4 linked regions of the Sus scrofa genome follow. The protein of the gene in region 1 interacts with the protein of each later gene in a pairwise test. Links are inferred from orthologs where the notes say so. Each region holds a gene or a part of one and is shown in the gene's direction. Other genes may lie near its edges. The genes, in order: AHCYL1, CDKN2C, SLC23A1 and GEM.

What was found.
Region 2: the proteins of AHCYL1 (region 1) and CDKN2C interact in binary tests that used the Homo sapiens proteins (3 or more experiments, as listed by UniProt). The two-hybrid records come from large-scale screens. The link is inferred for Sus scrofa from reciprocal best matches to the Homo sapiens genes AHCYL1 and CDKN2C.
Region 3: the proteins of AHCYL1 (region 1) and SLC23A1 interact in binary tests that used the Homo sapiens proteins (3 or more experiments, as listed by UniProt). The two-hybrid records come from large-scale screens. The link is inferred for Sus scrofa from reciprocal best matches to the Homo sapiens genes AHCYL1 and SLC23A1.
Region 4: the proteins of AHCYL1 (region 1) and GEM interact in binary tests that used the Homo sapiens proteins (3 or more experiments, as listed by UniProt). The two-hybrid records come from large-scale screens. The link is inferred for Sus scrofa from reciprocal best matches to the Homo sapiens genes AHCYL1 and GEM.

What each region holds. Positions count from the first base shown.
Region 1 is NC_010446.5:110,099,688-110,106,606, reverse strand, and holds part of AHCYL1 (adenosylhomocysteinase 2), read left to right. Parts: intron 1-1,887; coding exon 1,888-2,031; intron 2,032-3,032; coding exon 3,033-3,133; intron 3,134-3,565; coding exon 3,566-3,668; intron 3,669-4,800; coding exon 4,801-4,895; intron 4,896-5,478; coding exon 5,479-5,585; intron 5,586-6,423; coding exon 6,424-6,540; intron 6,541-6,794; coding exon 6,795-6,858; intron 6,859-6,919. UniProt on the Homo sapiens protein: Multifaceted cellular regulator which coordinates several essential cellular functions including regulation of epithelial HCO3(-) and fluid secretion, mRNA processing and DNA replication.
Region 2 is NC_010448.4:161,162,389-161,169,804, reverse strand, and holds the start of CDKN2C (cyclin-dependent kinase 4 inhibitor C), read left to right. Parts: upstream 1-3,123; 5' UTR 3,124-4,370; intron 4,371-4,433; exon of another isoform or gene 4,434-4,823; 5' UTR 4,824-4,834; coding exon 4,835-4,963; intron 4,964-7,416. UniProt on the Homo sapiens protein: Interacts strongly with CDK6, weakly with CDK4. Inhibits cell growth and proliferation with a correlated dependence on endogenous retinoblastoma protein RB.
Region 3 is NC_010444.4:141,272,946-141,280,600, reverse strand, and holds the start of SLC23A1 (solute carrier family 23 member 1), read left to right. Parts: upstream 1-3,045; 5' UTR 3,046-3,167; intron 3,168-3,513; exon of another isoform or gene 3,514-3,680; intron 3,681-3,971; exon of another isoform or gene 3,972-4,385; intron 4,386-4,403; exon of another isoform or gene 4,404-5,527; intron 5,528-5,553; 5' UTR 5,554-5,581; coding exon 5,582-5,617; intron 5,618-6,185; coding exon 6,186-6,320; intron 6,321-6,764; coding exon 6,765-6,922; intron 6,923-7,617; coding exon 7,618-7,655. Other genes in the region: MZB1 (marginal zone B- and B1-cell-specific protein), read left to right, coding at 999-1,199, 1,956-2,080, 2,494-2,604, 2,703-2,859.
Region 4 is NC_010446.5:42,467,260-42,474,282, forward strand, and holds the end of GEM (GTP-binding protein GEM), read left to right. Parts: intron 1-198; coding exon 199-275; intron 276-1,056; coding exon 1,057-1,261; intron 1,262-3,323; coding exon 3,324-3,601; 3' UTR 3,602-4,682; downstream 4,683-7,023. UniProt on the Homo sapiens protein: Could be a regulatory protein, possibly participating in receptor-mediated signal transduction at the plasma membrane. Has guanine nucleotide-binding activity but undetectable intrinsic GTPase activity.

The sequences.
Region 1 (6,919 bases):
TCAGCTGTTTGCTTAGGGTTCTCCTCTCGTACCCTAACCCTGTATAAGTAGCCTTTTTTTCTGCTTTGAATTGTGCCCTTCTCAACTTTAAGGGGGTATTAGAAAATTAACATGTAAAAGGATATAAAATCCTAGTTTGAGGACTGGAAAAAACTGGACATCTAATCCAACCCCCTCATTGTTCAATTGAGGAAACATTGTTAAAAGATTAAAAGGCTTAGCCAAGGTCATAGATGGCTGTGAGTGTCAGGAAAGAGATTTGTACCAAAAGCTATTTATTTTCTTCTGCCAGAATCTTGTTTGCATTGTATTATTAATATTAAGGACTGGGCTTTGAGGTACAAGGACTGTATTTTTAAAAAGTAAATAAACATTTCCAAAGACTTATTCTCTGCCCTGTGCCACTGATAACCCAGTATAGACAAGATAGGCAGACAAGTACAGATGGTGGTATACAGGGTTAGGTACTGAAATAAATGAATGTGCAGGCTCACTGTGGGCATGTGTGCAAGAAAAGGTTCCAGATATAACACTATCATAAGGGAAAAGGTGTCTTGGAGTGAGACAGATACAAAAAGTGGTAGGTGACAAACAGGCTAATTAGAAAGAATTTTGAAAGATTGAGTTATAAGAGAAAGTTGGGATGAGTGAAGAAAGCTTTAAGGAATTGCTCAGTTTTGTTTGTTTGTTTGTTTATTTGTTTGTTTTTCTATTTGGCTGAATCCATGGCATGTGGAAGTTCCTGGGCCAGGGATCAAACCCATCCCACAGCAGTGACCCAAGCCACTGCCATGACAATACTGGATTCTTAACCCACTGCACCACAAGAATATTCCAAGGAAGTCTTCAGAGATTTTCATGACCATGTTTTATGGGGACCTATCAGAGAATTTTTAAAAGCTTGAAAAGTTAAAGGACAATAAAGTTAAATTGTCCTCATGGGGTCGATAACCTTCAGGAGTATTTGTGGTAGTTGGAAAGAAAGAGGACGTGTACATAGAAGTCAGCCAGAGATCTGACACACTGGCAGAGACGGCAATCAGAAAAATATTCTGCTAGAAAAGAGGTTATTTGAGAGGTAAGGGCTGATTGTTGTGTATTTTCCTGTATATCCATCTGAAAGGACATTTTTAACTTTTTGTGAAGCTGCTTTTTTAAGTTGAATATCTTGTGTGTTCTCAAAGTCGGCAGTATAACCAGAACTGCTCACTTTTTGTGTCATTCTCTTTATGTTTCTTAGCACAACCAGTATAAAATCCCTTTATAAGATTTTATGAGATTATTTCATTGCTTTTATCCTTTTCTATTAATGTTCTCAAAGTACGGTCCTCTCAACAGCAGCGTCGGCAACACGTAGGAACTTGTTAGAAATGCTCAATCTTGGGTCCTACCTGAGCCCTGCCGAATGGGACTTTCTGGCAGTGGGGCCTAGCCATCTATGGTTCGACACACCTTCCATGTGATTCTCATGAATGCTTTAGAATTTTAAGTTTGAGAACCATTGATATAAATAGCATTCCTTATATGCCCTAAATTACTCTTCCATTTTTGCCATGTCTGGTTCCAACCCAGGTTGAGACTAAGTGTCCCTATTTTGAGGGATTCACTTGAGCTGATGCAGGTTTGGAATCAGTAGCTCCCTATCACAGGCACTCATGGCAAGGTGTCATCAGGGTGGATAAAAGGGCCACAACACTGAAAGATCTACAATAGTTTCATTCATACCATCTCTTAGAAGACCCTGGAGGAGTAGAATGGAGCGTGACTTAAAAGGTGGCTCCAACTGAGTGTCACCTAACTTAAATGACAGTCCCTTAGGGACTGCACCCTGTGGAGTTGGGGCCATTCAAGTTTTTCTTTCCTCATTTCTTTCTTTCCTGGCTCTAGCTGCATCCTACACAGATAGCTCTGATGATGAGGTTTCCCCCCGAGAAAAGCAGCAAACCAACTCCAAGGGCAGCAGCAATTTCTGTGTGAAGAACATCAAGCAGGCAGAATTTGGACGCCGGGAGATTGAGATTGCAGAACAAGGTAAAGAAAGGGACTGGGTAGGGACCAGAAGCAACCCACTTGCTGGTCATCAGGATCCATGAAAACTTAAGGCTTGAAAGTCTCCTGGGGAACTTTTGAGTTTGAAAGTATCCTGGGCTTTTATATAAACAGCTCTCCCTGTATGGAGCTTGAGCCTCAGGATTCTTGTTCCTGTTCTTATTCTTGTTCTCCCTGCTTCCCGTTCTCGGCGTGTAATAATTACAGAGTAGTTTCTCTTTTCCTTTCCCCCGACTCCATATTCACAGATCTACGTGCGGAGTCAGCAAGTCCTAGATGCCACATGGTGGTTAGTTCTGCAGGATCTTGCCATAGCTGCCAATGGTAGAGACCCAGATTTCCCAGAAGCAGCAAACTGGGGAGGGTTTTCAGCTAAGGAAGTGGTGACCTAGGGTCTTATTTGGTCTTTGATCCTGAGCACCCTCTGCTGGAGCAAGAGTGAAAATGACTGACAGTTAAATCTTGATTTCTTTACCCAGCCCCCGTCCCAATAAGGTCTCTTTACTCTTTTGTCGCTTTCACACTGAAGGCACCTTCTCTACTGGCAGGATGTGTAGAAATCAGACAGACTGACAGAATAGGATTAGAGAGCATGGAAAAACAGAAGCAAGTGGTTTCTGCTGAAGTAAAGTCTCTGCTCCTGCTCTGAAGATTGTAATACGTGGGAGTCCATTAGCCAATAACTACTTCCCTCTTCTCCCAAATGAAGAGTAACTCTCACCCTCCATTGTGATCACCTGAGAATTTGACTCCATATAAGCCCTCTACATATAAGGCTAGAATAGTGAGGATGAGAGAAATTTCAAGTGCTTAGATGACAACTCCCCACTGTTCGGCAGTTGAAGCTACCAGGCATCAAATAAATATGCTTAGAGTTTTTCCTCCGTATCTCAACAGATCCAGACCAGCCCTAGATGTTGCTGGGGCAGGAATTAATGATATTGCTAGTGCAGACCTAGCTCAAATCCTCTGTTCTTTCACAGACATGTCTGCTCTGATTTCACTCAGGAAACGTGCTCAGGGGGAGAAGCCCTTGGCTGGTGCTAAAATAGTGGGCTGTACACACATCACAGCCCAGACAGCGGTGAGTTTTTTGGGAGAAAAGTGATGGACTTCTGATTGGCAAGGAAGAGGGACCTTTTCTTTTTTCTTTTTTCTTTCTTCTAACTTGTTTTTGCTTCCCTATTTACCTAACCTCCAAATGCTAACTACTAGAGAGAACCTCTCAATTACACAGTACTGAGGTTTCCTACTTTGTTTGTATAGGTGTAACCTTTTAACAAACCTTAGGGAGATTTGCAAAAATATGATTGTTATAAAAATGTTATTAAGACTTTGGGGGTCACATCTTTTGGGTAAAGTTAGATTCCACTGTGCTAACTAGTGGGTTATACCCTTTTGTAACTTCCAGTGTAGCAACTTGTGTTGCTGCCGAGTTGCTGGGTATTAGTCTCTCAATTACGACTCTTCTCTGGCCCTTCTCTTTCTCACCCTGTCCTCCTATACCACTACATAGGTGTTGATTGAGACACTCTGTGCCCTGGGGGCTCAGTGCCGCTGGTCTGCTTGCAACATCTACTCCACTCAGAATGAAGTGGCTGCAGCACTGGCTGAGGCTGGTAAGTTCAGTTTATTTCACCAATTTTGCCTCAGAATTATTATCTAAACATAATTTTTACATATCAAGATTATCTTCACAGTGTCATATATGTCTAGGGGCTATAAAATGTGGAGGATAATAAAAATGTCAGCAGGAAGGAAATGGATAATAAAGGTCTATATCCATAGTGAAAGATTATATAGTCATTTAAAATGATCTTTGAAAAGAATCTGATACATAGGAAAATGCCCAATTCTAATGTTAAATGAATGAGAAAGAACTTTAAGCTGAGTGAGTTATGTAAGTGTGCGCTCAGTTGGTGTCTTTTCACAAAAATCTCATCACTTTTGAGAGAACCCAAGAAGTATCTTCTGTTTCCTCATTCATTATAAAATTTGGTATTCAGTACTGCATTAAAAATATATGAACTACTTACGAGTTCAATTAAACATAAAACAGTTTTTATTATTCAAATGTTCAAAGGAAAATCACTAGGAAGGTTCTCCCCTTTTCCTATGATCCTCAGAAAGCAACTCTATAATACTTTTGTTTTTCTTATTTACTCTTTTCTGATGTTTATTGCAGAAAATGTAAGAGGATCCCCAAAAAACCCCATAATCCTGCTACACAGAGATAATATTTGACATATTTTTCCTTTCTTCTATTTACTTTTTACAGAGATGAAACAAATCTCAGTAATATATGTAGTTGTATAACCTAATAGAACATTTTCAGAAGTAGTTTCCATGTCACTGCAGACCTCGACAACATCATTTATGGCCGTGTGATTCCACTTCACTGTTGTCCTACTGTTGAAACTGTAGGGTACTTGCTAATATAAGTAATGTTGTAATGAACAACTTTGTGGTGATTCCCACTTTATCTCCTTAAGATAGAGTTTCAGGCATAAAATTGGCCAAAGAGAATAACATTTTAAGGTTCTAAACTACTTTAAAAAACAAAAATCCCTAAAATTCTTAACTAATTTCTGAACTAAAGATGCTCTTTTAACTTTTTGCCCTTCATCAGTTGTTTCCTTTCCAGGGTAATTTCTACAGCCTTTTTCTCTTCGTCTGATCTCAGACAGTGATATTGGTATAGGACACTCTTCAAAGGAGGAATCAGCTGATCTCTTTCCATCTGTACCACAGGAGTTGCCGTGTTTGCTTGGAAGGGCGAGTCGGAAGATGACTTCTGGTGGTGTATTGACCGCTGTGTGAACATGGATGGGTGGCAAGCCAACATGGTAATAATGCATATTCATCCTACACTTTGACGATGGATTTCTTTCATTTTTTTTTCCCTCAAAGCATGGTTCCCTAAATATGTTTTGGATATTTGGTCTTATGCACTCACTTTGTTGCCGTAATGTTTACCTTGATAGCTCTTCAGAATGGGTCTGAGTACAGAATGGAGAGGCGGGGGAAGGGTCAGACCAACTGAACACATGTGGCTCAAACACAGCAGAATGCAATTGAAGAAAATGATATGGTACCTCTCTGGAATCAAATTCTGGTTTCTTTCCTTCCTGCCCCAGCTCTCCTTTTGCATTCAAAGGGCCTGTATTTCAGTCCTCTAGACTAAAAAATGAGTCTGTGATTAGCCTACTACTCTTCACTTTTAGCCTAGAACAAACTTAGGAACCCTTTTAACCATTTACACCAACAAATTTGACTGTGTTTCCGCTGTCCGAACCTGCTCTAAGGAGCACTGAGAATTGCTCTTCCAAAACATAACAGGGCTCTCTTACTAGTGCAGAAAGTGGGTTCAAAGTTCCCCCCAGCTCTAGCAGCCTGAATGCCCATAGAAGTCTTCTGGCTGTTCTGTAGATCCTGGATGATGGGGGAGACTTAACCCACTGGGTTTATAAGAAGTATCCAAACGTGTTTAAGAAGATCCGAGGCATTGTGGAAGAGAGCGTGACTGGTGTTCACAGGTAACAGATTCTGGAGTAGCTGCCCCTCGTGTCCTTGCCGCAGCAGATTCCTCTGGTCTCTCCTAGGCTGTAGGGCTGTGTTTCAGATTTGTAACTAAATGGGAGTGTTGTCATTAGATAAAACTTCTGAGTTATTACCTTTGCAAAAATCAAGGAAACCCTAAAGGGAAATTATTTCAAATTCTCGTTCACCCATTTTTCTCTCCCATTTATTCCACTGTGAGTCTCAATCAGTGTTGGGAGGTAGGGAGTGAGTATATCTTGAAAAACTGTATTCAATTATGTATTTTAATTTTATATTTGAATATGAAAAAAATCTATTGTAAAACCATATGTTATATACACATTATAGAACTGGGTAAAGTATTGTTGGAATACCTAAAAGATAGCTGAGAGAGTGTTTCTCGTTTGGGGCACCTTGCACACGCTTAAGCAAACAAAAACACATACACCCCGGCACATGCCACATGAAACCATATCAGAAACATTGATAATATTCGTTTATCAGAAATAGACATGAGTATTTTTTAACAATTGAGAAAATGCTGGTCTAATCAACTGTATCCCCCTTTATGGAAGAGAAGTAAATTTCTTCAGTTGAAAGGGTTGTTTGTTTTTTTTTTTTTCCCTTCCATAAAAAGGGGGGTGGGGAGGAGAAAATGAAAGGAAGTGAGGAGGGATAACGCAGAAGCATCTTATTTACTAATACTCATGGACTATAAGTAAGACTGGGGAGGGCAACATGGAGCTTGAAGAGAATTAGGCAGCCTTTGCCAGCTCCTTTGTCTTACCAGCTAATTTGGTTTTTGTTTGTTTTTTTGGCTTCTTCTCCTTTTAGGCTGTATCAGCTCTCCAAAGCTGGGAAGCTCTGTGTTCCAGCCATGAACGTCAACGATTCTGTTACCAAACAGAAGTTTGATAACTTGTACTGCTGCCGAGAATCCATTTTGGATGGGTAGGTTGCAACATATAGTTATTCAAATTTGTAGGGAGTAAATTAGGTTTGGGTCGTAATGTTGGTCTGATCTCAGTCCAGTTTTGTCCCCTGGTCTTCCTTTGGCTTTAGAAGTTTGAGGGGTTCCGTCTCATACTGAGCCCAGCCAACTTCCAGCTGGAGTTCTTCTGGAGCCTTGTCCCACGCTCTTACTTTTCAGAGGGACTGTGTTTGAGCCCGTGGTGTTTGAGTTGAGCTCTTGTCTGTTTCCGCAGCCTGAAGAGGACCACAGATGTGATGTTTGGTGGGAAACAAGTGGTGGTGTGTGGCTACGGCGAGGTAAGTAGCTGGGCCTGGGTGTCTGCCTCTCCCCAGACTTGGTGCAAATGTCGAGTGAAGG
Region 2 (7,416 bases), on another chromosome or scaffold:
TAACATTTGGGGACCCAAGACCTGAGTTCACATCCTATATCCACTACTTGGCTTTAAGTCACAATATCTATAAGCTTCAATTTCTTCATCTGAAATATCTTATTTACCTCATAGAGTTGTTAAAATTAAATAATGTGTGCATTATATTTTATAACTAGGAAACACTATACAAATGATAATTGTTATTATGTTTAACCTTTTGAGATGCTTACTGGGCATATTTTTTCTTACTTTACAAAAAGACTTTCATAAGTGGTGTGAGTACCCATACGAAAAAGTCTGCTGAGTCTCAGAAATAAAATGCCAAAACCACAATTATGAAATGATAAGAAGGCCCCCTGAGGGTACTAATCTGTTTCCTACCTCTGTTGGATCCATAAATACAATAAAAAGAAGACTTTGGAACTATGTAAAGAAATTGTAAATACCATATACACATACCTATAAGTTAATCATTCAGAAACTATGCATATTTGAGTTAATGAGAGGAAAAGCACAAAATAATTTGATTACAGTATTTCTATGAACCCTTTAAAGAGCATGAACTGCTGCAAAGAAAAAGACTTCCATAACTTAATATTTTATATCGAACTAAAAGGCTCTATTTCTGCGTTTGTGAGAATGAAACATCAATAAAATAGATAATTATGAATGTTTCTTCTACACTATGTCATAATAGAAGCTTATTTAAGGCAGAGATACCTTTGAATCTATGAACTATCACTCAATTAATATAAGATTTACATTGGAGGTCCTTTGTAGTGCTTACTTATGCTTTCTGAACTAAGAATGCAACCTCTATGCTGCCAGTTGTGTTACACAATAAGCAAACAAAGCATATGTTTTAAGACACAAGGAAAGCCAGAGTGAAAGCAAATGAACAGAAACTTCCTTAAGGAATTTAATACTGCAGTAAAAGCACCTAAGTAGTCATCATGGGAAAAATCAGAACTTTGTTGGACTTCTTTACACTTACTTTTTAAGTTTTGTGTTATTTTGATTTATGTATGAGGTAAGACCATGGGACATCAAAATCTTTTCAGTGATTAGGATCTCCGAAAATCTTAATCCAGCTCGTGTATGCATCTTAAATTACTATAAGCTTTATTTATTCAGTTATTCAGCAAAAGTATTTTATTTCATGGCAATTATAACACATGTATACCTATACTTTACATAATGAGTACAATTTAAGATTCTTCCTGGAGTTCCTGTCCTGGTGCAGCAGAAGCAAACCCGACTAGGAACCATGAGGTTGAGGGTTCGATCCCTGGCCTCGCTCAGTGGGTTAAGGATCCAGCGTTGCCAAGAGCTGTGGTGTAGGTTGCAGACGTGGCTCAGATCTGGTGTTCCTATGGCTCCGGCATAGGCCAGCAGCAACAGCTCTGATTGGACCCCCTAGCCTGGGAACCTCCATATGCCGTGGGTGTGGCCCTATAAAGACAAAAGACAAAAAAAAAAAAAAAGACTTACTATAATCTCTTCTTTTAGCAAGAAACCATAATAAATGCTAGAAAGCAACATTCATATTTTTCAGAAACCATAATAAATGCTAGAAAGCAGCTTTCATAAATTACCGGTTATCTCTTATCAGCTAACAGTTCTACTATATCATCACACACCCCAGCTGTACTGAAAGATTACATAGTAATTTCCCAGAACCATTTATGTAAATTGTATTATCTGTGGTATTTACTGGTATATATGGAATCCTAAATCTTCTATTTGAAATATCTAAATACATGTAAAAATAAGAGGAGTTAATTTCTTTTGCTATAGTTCATTTTTCATTCACATTTCAAGCTTAGTTACCTAAAAAAAGAGCTCTGGTTATTTACTTTTTTTTTTCTCACCAATTCGGTTAAAGAGAACACTGCCAGATTCTTCCCAGTTTCAACTCTCCCTCTACAATCTGTTGCTAGATGATTATCCAGATATTGTTGGTGTGTTTTTTGTTGCTAATAGTCCCCGTGTACTTCAAGGAGCTGGGTATAGATGTTGCTTGAGGATATTATGCCTGCTATAGGCCAGTAATAGTTAGACCACCTGTCTTTTTTTTTTTTTTTTGCTTAGTTTCATTTTGACCACTAGGTGCACCATGCAGCAGTGCTGGATATTTTTAAGAGCAAAAAATATAGAAAGCAGTAGTTGATTAATCTTAAATAGCTACAAGAGGAAGTAAAAAGTACAGAGAACTGGTGTCCTGATGACTGACCAGGGAAGATACGATTCCTTTACATTTACATCCCCCAAAACAAGTCTCATCTAAGAAATTAAAGAACTGTGACAGTAAAGAAATAGTCTTGTTAGAAAACCCTTCCCAGGACTTATTTTTTATTTTGCTTTAAAGTTAGTTGCTTTTCTCCCTTTCCCCAAAGAAAGGGAATATTTCAAGTCCCTGTAACATGAAGGCTTCAGAGTTCGTCATGATTTCTTACCTATACAGTGCCTTCAGTTTTCGCAAAAAATAAATAAATAAATAAAATAAGAGGAAGAAGGCTATAAAAGACTTCTCCTTTTTCAGAGCACTGTTTTTGCTGTCATTTGGGTTTCTCCCTCAACCCCTGCAGCTACCTCTGTCCATCGTGGCCCTGGTCGTTGATCTGGCAGGTGCGAGGCCGCAGCTCTGGACTGAGAAAAGGAGGCCGAGTTGACACGGCTCGCGCCCCAGAAGCGGCGGCAGCCGTAGGCCTGGCTGCCCGAACTTCGAGAGCCTAGCGCGGGAGCGCGGAGGCGGGCCGGCCTGCCCCGCCAAGCCCGGGGAAACACTCGCTTCGGGCCAGCTTTCCGCCTTCCAGCAGCCAGACCCACCGAGCTTTGCTCTCCACAGCCTTAATTAACAAGCCTCTTTCACCCCACCTCCGCCCCACCCCCGCTCCCGGCCCCGGGCAGCCCGGGGTTCCGCAGACTCCATTCCGCCCGCCAGTGGGAAGAGGTCAAACCCTGCTCCACCGGGCCGAAAGCCGCTCGAGCTGGGGCCGGGCCTCCGAGCTGGCGGGTGGGAGCCAGCGCAGGAGACGGAGGGAGGAATGCAAGCTGCTAACAGGCTAGAAAAAGGGCGCCGGGCAAGGGGCGGGGCGAGCCCGGCCGAGAGCTCGAGCGCCGCCAGCGCGGAGGGCGGGGCGTGGGCGGCGCCCTGCGTTCCCGCTCCCGCGGCCAGCAACTCTGCAGAGCCTCCTTAAAACTGCCGTTAAAATGGGGGCGGGTTTTTCAACTCAAAAAGCGCTCAATTTTTTTCTTTTCAAAAAAAGCTGATGAAGTCGGAAAAAGGGAGAAGAAACCGGCACCGTCTCTGCAGCAGCAACAGAAGCAGCAATTGTTTGAGCGAAAAAAGAAGCAAGGGAGGGAGGGAAGGAAAAGACCAGAAAGGGGCACGACGCACAAGTGTCTGTAGGGGTGAAGGGAGCCGGGACCGGTGATTTGAGGGGGACCAGCTACAAAAGAAACTGTCACTGGGAGCGCTGCGGCTCTGGAGGAAGCAGTGCTACCCGGCTCCGCTCCGGGCACAGCTGGCTGGCGGCCTCTGCCCTTTCGGCGCCACAGGCTGGGGGCACAGGCCAGGGGACCGCGAGAGGTTGGCGAAGTGGCACCGGGCGCCGAAGCCGTTGGGCTTTCCCCGAGAGGGCAGCGGGACTGGCTGTGCCTTGGAATTGTGGCAGCACCCCATACTCAAAGCTTGGCCTGGGACCTCCGGGGACCCTCGCGATCTCCAGAGGACCTCAGAAAACCGGGAAAGGAAGGAAAAGAGGCGGCGGCGGCTGAATGAACTTCTGCAGTAGGAAGTCTGAACTGGCTTGGTCGTAGGCGGGAAGTTCCCGGTGGGCTGCCGTGTGCGACCGCGATGCTGCAGCGCGCTGCCTCAGCGGACCCGGACCCGTAGACGCTTCCCGCATCGCTCTCCCCCGTCCTCGCTTCTGGAAGCCCCGGGACCCTGTGGGGCCGGCATGACCGGCTTGCCGGGGACCCGCCGCGCGCCCGGCCGTCTCCGGAGACGCGCGCCGAGCCTGGCTCCCACGGCCTCTGAGGCTCGGCGGGGCTGCGGTAGCCGGGCGGGCGGGCTCCGGAGCCCTCCCGCGCGGCGTTAGCCCGCAGCTCGGCCCGGACGCAAATAAAGGCTCTTCCCGAGAAGCCAAGGCCACTGAGGAGCTGTTGCGATCTGTAACTTGAGGGCCACGGAACTGCTACTCTGGTTTGCTTTTGGCGATCATCTTTAACCCCCAGAGCACGTCAGCAGCCAGCCACCGCGGCGCTCTCCCTGCAGCGGAGGACGCACGACTACTCTTTCGGCGAGACGGATGGAGACCGAGTCCCCCCGAGGACCTGCCCTGCGGTTCTGGCTCGCGTGGCTCAGGTCACCACCGTGAACAAGGGTGGGTGAATGCCTTTTCTTCCCCCAAATGTCTCTTCTTCCGCAGTATTTTCTTCCCTGATCTAGTCCCTTAAATCTCCGCACACATTCCTCACAGAGATTAGCAGTGTACGTACGTGACAGCTCAGCCTACATTTTACGTCCAGAGTAATTTACCAGGAATATATGTGTGTCTGCATATCTCTCTGTTAATCACTAGACTTCTTCATAGGGGTTAAGCTAAAAAGCGAGGAGCGGAGCCCCTCTCCAATGGCTCAGTTTTGCTGAATAATCACGTGTGAATCGAGGGGCGGGCTTTTGGCAGGCAGATCTTACTAGTATTTACTACCAAGCTCTACTCCAGATTAACCATCCCAGTCCTTCTGTCAGTCTCCGATGCCATCATGCAGCCTGGTTAGGAGCAAAGGAAAGGGGAAAAAGAAAAACAACTAATTCATCTTTTCCCGATCGTCAGGACCCTAAAGAATGGCCGAGCCTTGGGGGAACGAGTTGGCGTCCGCAGCTGCCAGGGGGGACCTAGAGCAACTTACTAGTTTGTTGCAAAATAATGTAAACGTCAATGCACAAAATGGATTTGGAAGGACTGCGCTGCAGGTTGGTATCCAGAGAGGTGGGGAAAACAGGTCAACAATGTTGCCTACGTGACCCGGGTTTCTAGAATAATAGCTTTTAAGCCTTCAGGGGTACAAAATTTCACTGTTTTTAAAACTAGTTGGTTGCCATATTTTATATCTTTAAGTGGATCCAACTACCCAAAATGACGTACTTTGAACGAACTCGTCAAATCCAATAATATCCTCGATATCAACTGGGTTCCAGGTTTGGTCTTAATTTTTGGAATGTTTTTGTGATGGTGGGGATTGTAAAGCATTCGTAGCAGCGCGGAGTTTTTTATTTTTGGGTTTTTTTTTTTTTTAGACAGCTCTGTAAACACATTATTATGATTATTATTTGAAGTAAATACACTGCTATTAGTGGTTTCCGAACTTTGCTCCAATAATTGACTTTAATGTTAATTTTCTTGACTACTGGCGAGGGTGTTTTTCTTCAAAAGCTTCAAGTTTTGACAAACGACCTTTCCTCGTTTGGAATGGGTGGCCTGGGCACGGGCACAGGATGTACATTTCACAGTTAATGTAATACCGTCCACCCATTCAGGATTGAGGAGGAATAGAAAGTTGAATTTTCTAATCAGAGCTCAGTTTATAGTGTTTTTGTCTCTGTGGTCATACCGTGGTATGTTCTAATTTTTAGTAATTAGATTTACAAGCAACAAATGAAACACATCCAGCTGCCAAATAGTGTACCTGGTAATTTTTTTCCTTCTCTGAACTGATCTTGTAACTTAGTTGAAAGACTTAGAAACAGAAAGATGGTAAAGTAGTCTCAAATTGTTGATCTGAGTTCTGATGATATTCTTATGAGCTCTTCAAAATGCAACACTTAAAGCTGTTTTGAAAATCCAATGGGAAGTGGGTTTTTAGAGTGCCTTATTTTAATCGCAAATATTAGAAATTTAAGTGGCAGGAGATGTATTATTAACAGACGAAGTCCATACAGCCTGTATATTTTAACAGAATACACTGGCCTTGCAAAAAATTTCAAATGTATTAAGGAAGCTTATACATAGATACTAAATTATTTATCTTGTTATTTCAGGCAGATTCATTTTTCCACCTAGTAATTTGGTGATGATAGCAATGCCACAAATATATTGAAAAGTTTCCTATTGAAAATTCAAAGTATTATATATATCTTACAAAGAATGAGCCACTTAACCCTCTACGAATAAGATCTTACAGGGCTTTTGATGAGCACGAGGACTGGGAGATTAATACTGAAAAAAAAAAGTTCTGACAAACATTTTTAATACAACTCTGCAGTCCTGTTTATATTAAACATACTTATCAAGATACTAACACCCACTTATTGTGGTTTAGCCCTAGTACATAAAATGAAACGCACACAAACAGGAGTCTCAAGGCTTATTTTCAGTATGTATAATCCTAACTCTGAAGTTGTGTCATAACTCAAGAAAGAACTTTCTTTCAAAACAATTTCTACTATTACTATTATTTTTCTGTGAAATATGGCAGATTTCCTCCTGCAATTATGTTTAACTCAATTACAAAGGATCTTCCCCCCTTCCTAGTGTAAGTTTCTTAATCAGGATAATATCAAAGGCCTTGATCGTACATGTGCTTTACAAAGATCCAAAGTGTCTGTCTCTCATTTTTCCCAGTCCAGGTCCTTAAATGACTAATATTTAGAGGTAGTTGTGGTTAAAATTAAATTGTGTTAATTTTTAATAACCAAAAAGTATATGTCATTGATATTCTTGAAAAATAAGTTATGTATCATTTTTAACCACTGCCCCAAAGGAAGGGCTAATGGTCAGCAAGGTTTTATCACCAGGGAAGCTTGACATCTTGGCCATCTATATAGTTTGCACTTATAGACTATTATTCCTTTTAAATGTATGTTATTATATTACTTAATTTGTGATTTTTTAAAACAAACATTCTAAAGAGATAAGTCAGCTTCGTATGTGTTTTCCAATGTATATTTAATTTCAAAAACATTTGAGTTTCTACTATGCAATCTATCATAAATTTAGGTTATTATGAATATACCTAAATGTAAATTTAAAATATTAAAATGCTGAAATTTTCTTACACATTAACAAGACTGTATTTTTCACAACTAAATTACATGTATTGTGTAACTGCATGCTGCTCAAGATATTTTATAATTATGAGAGTCTAATAGAGACCATTAAATAGAGTGAAATATATTTAAACACCGGTAGACGTCTTTGTCTTGTGAATTATCTGTATGTGGATAGCAGATTTTAATACTACATTCTGACTTTAAAAATATTGCCAGTTTACAAATAGCTATTCCTAAATCCCTGATGATAATCGCAAAAAGAAATAAGATAGGATCACCAGTTGATTAATAAATGGTCTGAAACTACAAAACAAAGCTGTCTGTCCTAAAATCCACATTAAATACCTTATTTTCTCTTCGTTTGCTCACTTGAAAAT
Region 3 (7,655 bases), on another chromosome or scaffold:
GGGCGACGCATGGGCAGGAAGGGGCTCTGTGTGGGGTCTGCGTGGAGGTGAGAGCGACGTGGCGGGGCCTTGCTGGGCTGGAATGTGATGTGATGAGTTCGAGAAAGAACAGTTACCATTAGGAGCAGGGTCAGGGATGGGATCAATGCCTTCCTTAGGTTCCAGGCCACTAGGGACGCCCAGTCCCTTGGCGGTACTGCCCCCCTGCCTTGGACTGGAAGCTGAGAGAACCTGGCCATCTTCCTGTGGCTAGTGATGCTGGTTCTGACGGCAAGGAGGGCCCTGGGCCGCCTCCCCCTCGTCGTGGTGTGCAATAAATCGCTGACCTGGTGGCCATGATGGCTGGAAAGACTGGTGTCAAGAGTCTGATTTCCTGCTGCGGTCCCTCAACCCCCCGCTCCCCACAGTTACCTTCCAGGCCTGGCTGTGGCCTGGGGCAGGGGACCGTGCGTGTCTTTCATACACCGTGGCGTCCCTGCCTCAGCGAACTGCCTCTCGGGGAGGGAGCCCGAAGCTGCCAACCATGCCTGTGGCCTCATTTCTCCTGGTGGCTGAGAGGCCGGGACTCCTTGGGGTCAACCAGGCATGGGTTCCAATCTCAGCATAGCCCCTCTCGCTGTGTGGCCTTGGAGTTGTCACTTTTCTCTGAACCTTTGTATCCTGGGGGGCGGGGGTAGATTAAAGATGACAATAAGCAATCATCCTGCCCCCACGGAACTTAGCACAGTGCCTGCCAGGTGGCCAGGTCCCAGGATGAGAGAGGTGTCCGCCCCCAGGTGTCCTTGCCCAGGCGCAGCCCCTCTCCTGGCCTCATTGTTTCCTCTCATTGCAATGGAGCCGAATTTGCTGGCGCCAGGGTCCCGTTAGAAGAGGTGCCTACGTGGCGTCTCCAGGGCCTGGGTGGGGGTGGGGAGAGAAAGGGAGGGTGAGATGTCAGTTCCTCATTGGTCTGGGGCGGCCCCCACTGCGCACACGCACCTGCACCCCAACCCCAGCACATGCTCACTGAGCCGGCTCCACGGACCATGAGGCTGTCACCGCTGCTGCTACTGCTGCTGGGGGCCTGTGCCATCCCAGGGGGCCTTGGGGACAGGGCCCCACTCTCAGCCACTGCCCCCCAGCTGGATGACGAGGAGAAGTACTCAGCTCACATGCCGGCTCACCTGCGCTGTGATGCCTGCAGGGCCGTGGTCTACCAGGTGAGTTCTCCTGCCCCCACCGGGGCCCCTCCTCAAGCCAGACCCCTTCTTCTTCCTCGGATTCCAGCACTGGCCTTTGATCCCCCCACCCCCCACCCGCTGGGCATCAAGCTAGACTCAGCCTGCCATGGTATTGCCATCTTCACCCCCTGGAACCTCCATGCCTCAGTTTACCTGTCTGCCCAACAAAGAGCAGACCATCTAGGGTGCCCCACGGTATCCTGAGACTCCAGGGAGTCCCTAGCTTATCCTCTCAGACGCTTCCCTTTCCAGGCTCATCCCTAGGTCTGGACTCCTTCCCAGAGCATGACCAGGGAGCACTGGCGTATGTGCACACGTATCACGTTTGAGTTCATGGATACACGAGCGTGTGTGTGTCTTGAGTTCACATACAAACCTGCCGAGCTGGTCTGAGTACTCGTGTGTGTGTGTGTGTGTGTGTGTGTGCACGCGCAGGGGCGATAAGTACACGTGTCACTGAAGACTGGGCGGTTTTTTTCCTTGTTCTTGTGCTTTAAAATAGCATACGCTGATGGGCAGGTGTACCCTGGGGGGGAGCCCAGTGCGCAGGCCTGACCTCCCACCTCCTCCGCCCCTCCCTGGGCAGTGGAGCTCGTCTGCTCACAGGTGCTTCCTGTCCAAAAGGCTGCACTGCCTCCTTCTTCTTCAAAGACCCAGCTTCCTGCCCTCCCTCCCTTCTCCATCCCCGGTCCCCGAGACCTTCTCAAGCCCTGGTTCTCAACGCCTCTGTTCCAGATGCAGCAACATCTGACAAAGGCAGAGGCCAAGCTTCACACCCTGGACTCCGAGGGCCATCACAGGCTGAGTGAGTCCGTATACACAGATGTTCTGGATCAGAGCTGTTCCCAGACCTGGCAGGAGTGAGTTGAAAACCCGGCCCCTCCCTCCCTCCCTTCCTCCTCCAGGGGCCAGGCTGATGGGGCGGGGGGGCGGGGGTGGTTCACCCTCTTACCCACACACCGCCCACACTCTACTAGGGCTCCAGCCCGAGGCGGGGGACTGGCCAGGACAGAGTCTGAGCTCTGTAGAAGGGTAGCGGCCAGGGGACATGGTTGCTCTGGGACTTTGGGCTAGGGACTTCTGCTTTCTGGTCCTCCGTCTTCCATCAAGGAGGATCAGAATCTGGGCACGAAACTCGGTAGACGCCCCGGTGTGTGCAGCTTCCTGTGGGGACGGTCCCTTGTTGGCCGGGCTCCACTCTGTGCTGTCTTCCTCCCCTCCCCTCCCCTCTCCTCCCCTCTCCTCCCCTCTCCTCCCCTCCCCCTGCCTCCAGCTACGGCGTTCGAGAAGTGGACCAGGTGAAACGACTCGTAGGCCCAGGACTTAGCAAGGGGCGGGAGCCGAGCATCAGCGTGATGATCACGGGGGGCCTGTGGCCCGGCAGGTGATGGCCGGAGGGCTGGGGTGGGTGGAGCCCGGGCGGCCTGGATCAGCCCCGCTGTGGGCTGGGCAGCGTCTGATGCTCCTGCCGGGCGGCCCTAGGCTCGCCACGACCTGCTGGCACTACGTGGGGGAGTTTGGAGAAGACCAGATCTATGAAGCCCACCGACAAGGTGCGGAGGCTCTGGAGGCGTTGCTGTGTGGGGGCCCCCGAGGGGCCTGCTCCGAGGAGACCCCCCGCCCACGGGCAGAGCTCTAGACCCGCTCCTCCTGTCCTTCCTGGTCGGCCCCGAGGAGCGCCGGGCTTCCTCCGGACCTGCCCCCCTACGTTCTGCAAGCTGCCTGGAAGGCTGTCGTCTGTGCTGACACTCTCTGTCCCCACGCCCGCTTGGGGGCCCTGGGGCCCGGGTGGGGGCCAAGGTCTGCCCCCTGGACTCAAATAAAACCTGGTGACCTCGGACCCTCCTGTCTGCAAAAGGTGCTTGGGGGGGCTGGGAAGATAGCATTGCCGTTTCTGCTGACGTCCCTCCGAAAGGGCCAGGGACACGTCCGCAGGGCTTCCCGGAGGTAAGTGAGATCTGCTACGGTTGGGAATCAGAGGGACCTGTCAAAGGCATAGGGAACCAGTTATCTGAATGGTTGAAACTCCAGCTCCATCATGGGAGAAAAGAGAGGCAAAGCCAACTCTGCAAGCGGGCCGCCGGTGGACGCCTACTGCCACCGCTGCCGTGTGCCCGGTGCCCCGCCCGGAACCCTGGTCTCCCTGGGCCTACACCCATGGGCCACTCACTTTCTAGATTCTGCTCCAACCCCAGCTGGCATGGTTGGGCCCTAGGTGCCTGCAGGTTCCCTGGAACAGGCTGGCTTCAGCTCTGGGCTCTGTGCCCTGCTCTCCCCCCAACATCCTTCACACCTGAGGCCCTTTCCGTAGCAACAGAGACGGGCTCTGCGCCCGGGGCCTTCCTGGGTCTGGGTGCCTGAGTTCAGGTGGCACTACCGCCCATAGTTTCCTCTATGAGGCTCTGATGGGCTGAAGCCCTGAGAGGTAGAGCAGACACTCAATCCCCAGTTGACAAATGCAGAAACCAAGGCTCAGACAACAAAGAGGCTCCGGCCGGAGTCCCAGGCAGACTCACGTGGCCGGGCTGGGAGGGGGGTCTAGTTTGGGGGGTGGGGTGGGTCAGGGCTGGAGGCCAGAGGCTCTGCCCGGGGGGCCCTGACCACCAGCCCAGCCTCTACATCCCTCAGCTGCTCCCCATCTGCCAGAGGCTCCTCCTGCTCGCAGCCCTCACGCCAGGGGAGAACTCACAAGCCGAGCACAGGAGCAGGGACGCGGCTGGGAGCCCGCGGTGTGGCCCCGTGTTCGCGTGGAGTGGCTTGGCCCCGGCCTCAGAGTCTGGGCGCTGTGGGTCCTTTGGGTGCCTGTGTTTCTGGGCCACGTGGCACTTCCTGGCCTTGGCTCTGCGCGGGGTCCGTGTCTCTGCATGGACACGGTGTGCGAGGGGTGGGGCTGTCCCCCCAGTCCCCGGGGAAGTGCTGGGGAGGGGCCGGGAGGGAGGAGGAATGTGCTGAGGAGCAGCGGCTTCGAACTGGTCAGACGACTTGGGGAAGCTGGAAGCAGGAGCCCAGAAGGTGGAGGAGAGGACGGCGGCGGTCAGAGGGACGGACCCGAGAGCGCGGCCAGGCCGACTCAGGGCGGTGACATGAGGCTGCTCCCTGGCTGGACAGCGGTGGTACCTGTGAGCTCTCGGGGCAGGGCCTGGCCGTGGGCACAGCGACCCAGAAGTAGGTGGACGCCTTTAAGGGGTGTGGGGCTGGGGCCGCCCGGCAGGAGCAGAGCCAGGACTTGAGGCCCAGCTCCCGCCAGCTGAGGAGCCTCAGTCCCCGGGAGTGGGGGACAGGCCGGCCGGGGGCTGGCTTTAGGGCGTCCGTGGCGGTCACACAGGGGCTCACGAGGGCCCACAACTCTGCTTAAGGCTCTGCTGTTTCTCTTTTAAAATGGCTAGTACTTCTGGGTCAGGGGCCCCACGTTTTCATTTTGCACCGGGTGCCACGGATTACACAGCTGGTCCTGGTCGCAGGGGGGATTCCTGTCCCCACACAGGGGACAGGCAAGACGGGGCCAGCCTCGGCAGCTCCTTCTCCGGAGGCCCATCTGTCAGGTGTCTCGGGGACCCTGACGGGGCGAGCAGTGGGCGGGGGCGGGGGCGGGCAGAGGGCAACCCCTTAGGGCCTTTAAGGTGTGATGAACAGCGTGGCCTCAGGCGTTCGGGCCAACCTGAATTTTCTTTTTTTTTGGCCGTGCCCGCAGCCCGCAGCAGTTTCCAGGTCAGGGATCAGACCAGAGCCACACCAGGGACCACGCCAAACCCTTAACCACGGGGACGTTTTCAGAATGGTTTTCTCAAGCCTTGCCACCTGCGTGGCCTTGGTTCCCCGCATCGCTTAAATCGCTTAAATCGCTCTCCTCGGCTCTCGAGCAGGTTAATTGCCCACAGCGCTTGGGGTTAAAAACCCATGACAGTGCGCAGATGTTGCTTGGCTCGTAATTGCTGCTTCATAAGGAGATGGGTTATGATGATGATAATGATTAACTTCTCATTAATGAATGGGGAGAGCCTCCTCCGGGGGCTGACAGGTGCCCATTCTCCTCTCGCCCCACCCAGGGCTTGATAAACTTCCGAGGCCGGCCGCTCCGGCCCTCTCTTGGAACACAGCCGTTCCCGTGCCCAGGCTCGGGTGTGGGCAAGGAAGGGGGTGCTCGGGAGGGAAGCCTGAGCCGAGGCCTGGGCGGCCTTTTCCGCTACGGCCAGGGTTAATACGTTACATTGGCCTGGGTCCTCTTTCGCAATCGAAGCTTCGGGAGCTGGTTACAGATTGACTTCGAACAATGCCTGATACGTGGAGTAAAGTCCTCCTTGGACCTGGTAAAGCCATCCCCTCTTCTCCGCAGGAACCGCTCACACACCTGTGCCCCAGAGATGAGGGCCTGGGAGGACGCCGAGGGCCCGACCCAGGTGCTGGGCATGGGGCCGGGGCGGGGGGCTGAGCCCTGGGCACGCAGAGGGCAAGGTTCTGCTCACCAGGCTCAAGGGTGACGGTCCCAGGCGGACTGTGGCCACTGGGGGACGGGGAAGGGGCAGCAGTAGGGGTGAAGGAGCCTGTGGCTTTGGGACCGGCTGACTCCAGCTTGAGGGCCAGCCAGCAGGGGCCCAGCCTACCACCTGCTCGTGATGTCCCAAGGTCCTCCAAGGGGCAGAGGTGGGGCCAGAGTGGGCCCAGGCCTCCAGCCCCGCTGGCCTCCTCGCCTGGTGTCCCGCCTTCTGACTCACGGACCCATTTCCTCGGCGTGAAGGCCCAGGACCTGGGGGCTCCGGGAGCCAGCACAGTGGGGCCCATCGCTGCACAAAGCAGCCCGATGTGGGGGCTGTGTAGCCAGGCCGAGGGGCAGCTGGGTGGATGGACCTGGGTGGAGGTGGGCGACCGCATTCGGCCAGGCTGACGGGCCTGCTTGGTTCTGAAGAAGGACGGACTTTGCTGGTTCCCATCACCCCACGCTGAGTTTCTTCTCTCTGCCGCCCCCAGCACAAGTCCCTGGGCTCAGCAGGGACCTCCACGAGGGAGCCCCCAGGGGCCCTGCCCACAGAGCCCAAGTCTGACATGTTGTACAAGCTCGAGGACGTGCCACCCTGGTACCTGTGCATCCTGCTCGGCTTCCAGGTGGGTGTCTCCCCGGGGCCTTCCCATCCCTGCCCTGCACACTCATCAGGATTGCAGTCCCCTCCCTGGGCAACGAGGGCACCTTGGGTAACAGGAAGAGGAACCTAAGGTCAGCGGCCGTGACTGTCACCAAGCAGGGGTGGGGAAGAGGCTCAAGTGAGCCTGCAACAGGTTTGCACCCCCGGGACGATGCATCGCCTGCCAGGCGGCGTGCCGGCCACAGGGAAGAGGGCCACTCCACAGAAGCTGCAGGAATAACTTAGGGGCAGATTAGTCACCCCAGAGAGGTGAGCAGTCCCTCTGTGGGACCCCTGATGGGAGCACCAGTCCTGGGTGGGCATGGGCTTGGGCCACTGAGGCAGGCGTGGGGGCTTGCGGGGGGGTGCCCCTGCTTCCCTGGGCAGCCCGGGCCCTGCCTCATGCCCTCCCCCCCCCCGCCCCCAGCATTACCTGACCTGCTTCAGCGGCACCATCGCTGTGCCCTTCCTCCTGGCGGAGGCGCTGTGTGTGGGCCGTGACCAGTACATGGTCAGCCAGCTCATTGGCACCATCTTCACCTGTGTGGGCATCACCACCCTCATCCAGACCACACTGGGCATCCGGTGAGCCGCCCCACCCCACCTGCCCACAGACAGACAGACACCCAGGAATCCCCAGGGTAGGCGCAGTCCCAGAGCAGCTTGGGGGAGAAGAGAAGCCCCTCCTCTCGGCCCCCACCTGCCGCTCCTGCTCCCAGGCCAGCCTTAGAGCTGGGCAGCTAGTGTCCCACCCTCGATCCCCGACCCCCGGGGAGCCCCTCAGGACTCTCCCCCGTTAAGCGTCACTCCGGGTAATGGGGAGCCCCCGCTCCCCTGCTTCTAGGGCCTGCGTGGGACTCTTGAGTGGTCCATCCTTTTGGCGACCCCCCTGCCTCCACGTACACAGAGCCCTGGGCCCGGGGCGGGGGGCTAAGACTGGGTGGTCGTGTGGTAGAGGATGGAGGAAGGTTGTGAGTGGGGCTTGGTGTCCACGACTGTGCCCGTGGCCGCTCACAGGGCAGGAGCTGGCGCCGAGAAGGAAAGGGGGCGCAGGGAAGGCCAGGGCTCCTTTGTTTTCCTTCTTAGGCTCCTAAATGTGGTGGAATCTGCCTGAGGCCTCAATGGCTCGCCTCCGTTCTGCCCCTGCCCTGGTTGCTCTGTCCCTGTGTGTGACGCCCCTGTCCTCTTTCCGTGCCCCCCGCCGCCCCGTCTCCCTGCCTCTGTGTCTCTGCCTCCCCACCTCCCACCCTGTGCCCCCGGCTCTGTGCCTCTCGTTCCAGGCTGCCGCTGTTCCAGGCCAGCGCCTTTGCATTTCTGG
Region 4 (7,023 bases), about 68 Mb from region 1:
GTCCCTGGCCTGGGAACTTCCATATGCCAAGAGTTCGGCCATTAAAAAAAAATTGCCTTTGTGAACTTTTACATATTTTACTTTGTATATGTACATAATTAATTGCATATTTAGAAAGTTTATAGCATCAATTTCTACATGGCCGTCTTATATAAAAGTGTTTAGCTGACCTTAATATTACTGTTCTTTCTTTTCCAGAAGATACATATGAACGAACACTGATTGTTGATGGGGAAAGTGCAACAATTATACTCCTGGACATGTGGGAAAATAAGGTATGCAGAACCTGTAAGTTCCTTCAAGGCTTGCCTTCCACCAGGCGGTTTGGTGCAAGGGTGACATTGTCCTTTGTGGGCAGTTCCAGATGAGTTGAACTCATTTTCTTGATTAAAAGCATTGACTTCTAAAGAATGAAACTGTTCTAAGGAACAAGTTGTTCATAAATGAGCTTTGAATACCAAGCAAGTTGCAGTGATTTGCCCTTCTATTCAGAAATACCAAAAAGTCAATTTGTTGTAGGGAAAGTGCCAATAAGTATGGATGATCATTTTAAACTGTGTAAAACCGTATTATACGACCTTGATACTCTCCATCCTAGTTTTCAGCATGTGCTTTGTAGAGATCTGGGGCTTTTGAGCATATACGTTAGATTTTCTGTTTATCGAGAACCTTCTGATGCTGATGAAGGAATTCTTGATTTCATCGGTTGGAAGAGGCGAAAGAGTTTTTTGAAAGCCAGGAAAGGCTCATTTGGGGTAGTTTAAATAAAGTTGGAAATACTGTTTGGCAGAGTCATTGTATAATTTATCAACTCAAGCTGTGAAAGGAGTCAGAAAGTAAAACTTCTTGGCATCCGTACCCCATGAGCCAGCAGTCTTTGTAGCCACAGACATCTTGTAGGCATGGAAGACCAATGCCTTTTGGGGAGTCGGAATGAATTTTCTTTCTTTCTCATATCAGCAAGGATACTTTAGGATACACGCATGGTTTCTTTCAAACGGACACCTCATTTACCAGCTCATCTGAACTCAATGGGAGTTCTTCTCATTTCATTAGGGGGAGAACGAGTGGCTCCAAGACCACTGCATGCAAGTCGGGGATGCCTACCTGATTGTCTACTCCATCACGGACCGCGCCAGCTTCGAGAAGGCGTCTGAGCTGCGAATCCAGCTCCGCAGGGCCCGGCAGACAGAGGACATTCCTATAATCTTGGTTGGCAACAAAAGTGACCTGGTACGGTGCCGGGAAGTGTCTGTATCAGGTGAGAGGAGTGGTGCCAGTTACCACAGACACTATCTCTGGGTCTTGGGTATTTTCCTTTAAACAGTTGCTCTTCCCTTCCTCTTACACAAAGCTGGAACCAGGGACTCTTAAGATGCCACGTGGAGTTTTACGCACACTCGAAGACACCCACATTCCCAATAGATCATCTGGTCTACCTGCAGGATTTCAGTCTCTCCATCCCCAAGCTTTCCCTGGAATTCTTTTAGAGAAGAGGTCATACTCGGGTTTACTGGCAGTTCCCAGCCCTTTTTTCTCATCCTCTCTATTCTCCAGGGACATCTCTCAAGAGTCCCAGGAAGTGAAAGTAGCACCTTCATGCAAGAAGGATGGGAACTTTGATTTCAAGAAACTATTGAGATTAAGAATTCTACTCTGGCTGCCTCTGATTCCTGTAGACCCTAGAAACACCCTTCCAGCCCCTACCCTTTGCTTCCTGAATAACCTTAACCTTAACTTTCCAGTTAAGGTGCCAGTCCAATGGCATCACATATACTTTGTCGTATTTAGTTCAGGCATGATTCCTATTTGTTGAGTTGGCACCCAGTGCCTTTGGGGCCCTTAAAATCTTAATTTTTTTTTTTGTCTTTTCGTCTTTTCTGGGGCCACACTCACTGCACATGGAGGTTCCCAGGCTAGGAGTCGAATCAGAGCTGTAGCCGCCGGCCTACACCAGAGCCACAGCAACGTGAGATTGAGTAGAGTCTGGAACCTACACCACAGCTCACGGCAACGCTGTATCCTTAACCCACTGAGCGGAGCCAGGGATCAAACCCGCAACCTCGTCGTGGTTCCTAGTCAGATTCGTTAACCACTGAGCCATGACAGGAACTCCCTAGGGGCTCTTAAAATTTTATTGGCCTAATTCAAATTTGGTACAAGGGTGAAAAAACAAAATACTGCATTGCCAGGCTCCGCCCAGGAGAAAAGAATGCTGTTAAAGACTAAACAGACCCAGCCAGCTTGGGAATGTCTTACTCTTAGGAAATGACTGTCTGCAGGAGTCATTTTTTCCAAAACCAAACTTGGACACCTGGTCATTGAACACAATGGAGCATTTGAAATTGAGACTGTTTCAGAAAAGCTTTTTTTTGTATCATTCGCCATAATTACACTGTACATGTGTGAAGATCCTCAAAATTTTTCAAAATAACTCATGAAAGCTTAAATAGTTTTTTTTTTAAGTAGGATTCTTTTTGTTTCTTTATTCATTTTTTAAACTTCTATTGAAGTAGAGTTGATTTACAATACTGTGATCATTTCTGCTGTACAGCAAAGTGACTCAGTTATATGTGTACACACATCCTTATTTTCAATTCAGAAAACTGAGTCAAGAGAAAGTTCTCTTAACTTGAGAGTGAAGCGGGTCTGGACTCAGATCCTCCACTTACAGGTTATATGAACTCCCTCAAGTTTTTAAAGGACCCCCCCCCCCCATCATCTACTGGAAAGGGATAATGTGTTTTTAAAGATAGTTGGGAATGTCTAAAAAATGTTTATACAAGATCCTTCTGTATAGCACAGGGAACTATATTCAATATCCTCTGATAAACCATAATGTATATATTCTTTTTCATATTCGTTTCCATATGTATATATAGGTATGAATCACTTTGCTCTACGGCAGAAATCAACACATTGTAAATCAACTACATTTCAGTAACGCTACAAAAAAATGTTTATGAAGTATTTAACCCAGTTCCTGGCACATAGTAAGCGCAATAAATTAAGGCTATGGCTTTTAGTATTGGATGGAATTTGACAATATTTGATGTAATTGGACCTTCACACAGGGTTTGGCAGGCCAGATCTAAAGCCCATCTCTCCTGCTTCTGGCAATCTTCCTGTGAGATTCTGCTGTTTAAGCTCCAGGAGGACACGGGTCCCAGGGGCCTCCGTATCCATTGCATGTGTGATGGACTTAGCATTACCTTGAGGACCATTTAAAAAGAGGATTCATCCAGCTTGGCTGTGTGTGTGTGGGGGGGGATGCTATTCTGCAGCCCCTCTGACTTTCTCCTCCCCACCCCACCCCCAACCAGAAGGCAGAGCGTGTGCTGTGGTGTTCGACTGCAAGTTCATTGAGACCTCAGCGGCTGTCCAGCACAACGTCAAGGAGCTGTTTGAGGGCATCGTGCGGCAGGTCCGACTCCGGCGGGACAGCAAGGAGAAAAACGAGCGGCGACTGGCCTATCAGAAGAGGAGGGAGAGCATCCCCAGGAAAGCCAGACGCTTCTGGGGCAAGATCGTGGCCAAAAACAACAAGAACATGGCCTTCAAGCTCAAGTCCAAATCCTGCCATGACCTCTCTGTGCTCTAGGTACCCAGAGTCACCCAGATGTCCCCCGATGGACGTCACTGAAGGCCATTGGGACCCATAATCTATATTAGATTGGATTCTTAAGTAGTGTAAGATGTGGCTTCCCCTGTTGTAGCTGGGAACTAACATGTTCGCTGGTGGGCAACATTAATGCATGGGAAATGAAAGATCTTTGTAAAGAGTCAGTATTTATTTACATGAAAAGCCTGACCTTTGCTACATGGACACCCGAGACTCGAGAGAGCGTGGTTGGTGTTCACATGTGTTTCCTCTCTCCTTTGGTTTGTAGAGGATGAGTGCCTAGGCAAGAACTTTTTCTTATTAAGATGTTGCCCGGTGTTCTGATATGTGACTCTGAGGCCAATCAGTGGGTCATAGATATAGGAAGGCTGTCAAAGGAATTTTTCAAAGGAGGGAGAACTTCTTTCTCTGTACCTTGTATTCGTGGAGCTAGGATTGCCCGACGGGGCTCATCACAATCATGACTATGATGCTCCATGAAGCTGTGAAAAGAAATGATGGACTTGCTGGAAACTAAAGCTTAGCAAACAGTTTTTTGTTCAATGCCCACAGTGGGGGATCCAGAAATTTGTAGAATTGGGAACTGATACCTGTACCACTAATGGGTTCAAAAATTCTCTCTTTACGACTGTGTCTTATAATTTTTTATTTAGGGGAAAATTATTTTAGCCAAATTCTATTGCATCAAACCACCTTTTGTGTTTCATTATTTTTCAAATCATAAGGGCATCATAAAAATATTTTTAAAATCTGAATTATTGAGAACCTGGAGCGCACAATGCAAAGTTTTTGAATATAATCGAAGGTCTGAATTTTTATAAAACATGAGACATAATACTTCCAATACTTTGGGTTGACCCTTGTATACCACAGCTTTGCTCTATTTATTATTATTTTGCAAAATAACAACCATTTTAACATTTGATAAAGCATATTTATGAACATATTTCTTAATGAGAAAAATGCTCATTTTATTACCATTTTCTATCTTTTTCAGAATATGCAAGTTTTTATCTATATGTCTTCTAATAAAAGAAATAAAATATTTGAAAAAAAGGCATTTCTAAATGTTTTTTCCTTCCCTACAAGGTGATTATGAATATTTTGCTATAGCTTCTAGAGAAAGCACATTATAAAGAAACACACTTATTGTATTTCTTCACTTCACTGGTGGAAGCCCAGTTATTATCTGGTGGGTTTTTTTTTTTTTTTTTCGCTCTTTATGGCTGCACCCGCAGCATGTGGAGGTTCCCAGGCTAGGGGTCAAATCAGAGCTGTAGCTGCCAGCCTAAACCACAGCTGTAGCAACGCCAGATCTGAGCTGTGTCTGCCAACTTCATCACAGCTCATGGCAATGCCGGATCCTTAACCCACTGAGTGAGGCCAGGGATTGAACCCGCAACCTCATGGTTCCTGGTCAGATTCATTTCCACTGCGCCATGATGGGAATGCCAGTGATTGTCTGTTTTAAAGAGTATCCCTGACATCTCTCTTTTGGAATGCAATTCGCAATAATGCAAAGTGATTTTTGGCTGATATAATTTGGAAGTATTTGGGATCCTGTAAATGCTATGTTACAGTAAAAGTGAGTTTGACTTTCATTTTGGTCTTGCAAATACCTGGCTCAGCAGATGGGCCTTGCTTTGCTCCCCAGAGGCTCTTGGTCCTAAGTACTAGAGGAAATTATAAAGGATTAGGGGTGGGGGGAAAGGAAACAGGTGATTTTCAGCCTGAGATCTAGCCAGGCAAGGCCTTAACTGCATTCTGTCCCTGACATAATTCAGCTGGACATTAATCACGTGGCTGCCATCCAATGGTCACATGTCATCTTTCTGCTGGAGTGAGACTTCGTGGTGCTCCTCATTCACCTCTCTGACCCCCACACGCACCCTCTTTCACTCTCGCTGCTAACGGTGACAGTCATGGGACCTTGCATGGTGTCCGGAGCGTCACAGTTTTACAGGATGTCTCTGCTCAGTGTTATTGGCCCTTTCTCCTGCCTTTTCCAAGTTGAGAGCAAAGGTTCCTGTCTCTGCACTTTGCATCTTTGAATTGCTCAAGGAAACAGTACAGGGAAGTGATCAGAGTATAAAGATTCAGGTAGCCCAGGCCCAGGCTGAATCTTGGCTGAGCCATTTAACATCAGTGTGACTTTGGAGACGTTAAAGGGTAAAGCTTCTAAACCATGACTATTTTTTTTTTTTTTATCTGTAAGTGAGATTGCTAATAATACCCACCTTGTAAGATTGTGAGATGAACATCTTTCAGTCTGTCATACTGTAAAGAGCTCAGGAGATGGCACTTTTCATTGTCACACATCTTCCACTTTCCATAAATAAGTTTTCTGTGTCTGTCTCCCCCAACTGGAATGGAAAATCCTTAAAATCAGAGACCATTACTGCTTTTCTTTTTCATCTCTTTACTCTCATCAGTGACGTTCCCTGCATATGTTAAAGCTTTTTATATTCTTTCTTCTTGAATAGATACTCCCAGTGGCCCCATGAGACTGACAGTCCATTTTATAGGCAAAAAGGGCTGGGGGTGGGGGGTTAAGTGACTTGTCCCAGTTCGTTCAGATGTGCAGTGTCTGGGCTAGAACTGGTGTCCAGATAGGATTCATTTGTATCTTCTAGAATCCCAGCCCGTTTCCTATACACTCAGCTCATGGACCATCACCCCTCCCTCCTCATACACCACATACACCACACCACGTCCCCCCCACGCACACTGCACACCATGCACACACATCCCGCATATACCACACTAAAAACACACACAGCACATACGAACACAGCACACACATATCCCACTCCACACATACCACATATATCCCTTACACACCTCACACACAGACATATATTCTTTTTTTTTTCTTTGCTTTTTAGGGCCACACTTGTGGCATGTGGAGATTCTCAGACTAGGGGTCAAATTGGAGGTGTACCTGCCGGTCTGTGCCACAGCCACAGCCACAGCCACAGCCATGTAGGATCCAAGCCACATCTGCAACCTACACCACAGGTCGCAGCAATGCCGGATCCTTAACTCACTGAACGAGGCCAGGCATCAAACCCACAACCTCATGGTTCCTCGTGGGATTCGTTAACCACTGAGCCATGAAGGAAATGCCCACATATTCTTTATTTACCCTTTTCTTTGTTCTCCCAGATTCAACCTTCTTCCTCACTTATTTCAGACCTTCCCAGACAAATGGCCAACAGCTCCCAAGCCTCCTAACTGTTGGGGCCTGCTCAGATTGTCACCCCAGGCCTCCCTCAGCTTGATCCAGGCAGATGGTGCAAGTTGCCTTTCCGTCTGAGTGGTATCTTGGTTCAGGGCTGCAGCTTGAGTTAGACAGATCTGGGTTTCACTCTGTTTTCATCACTTGCAGATGCGTGATCAGG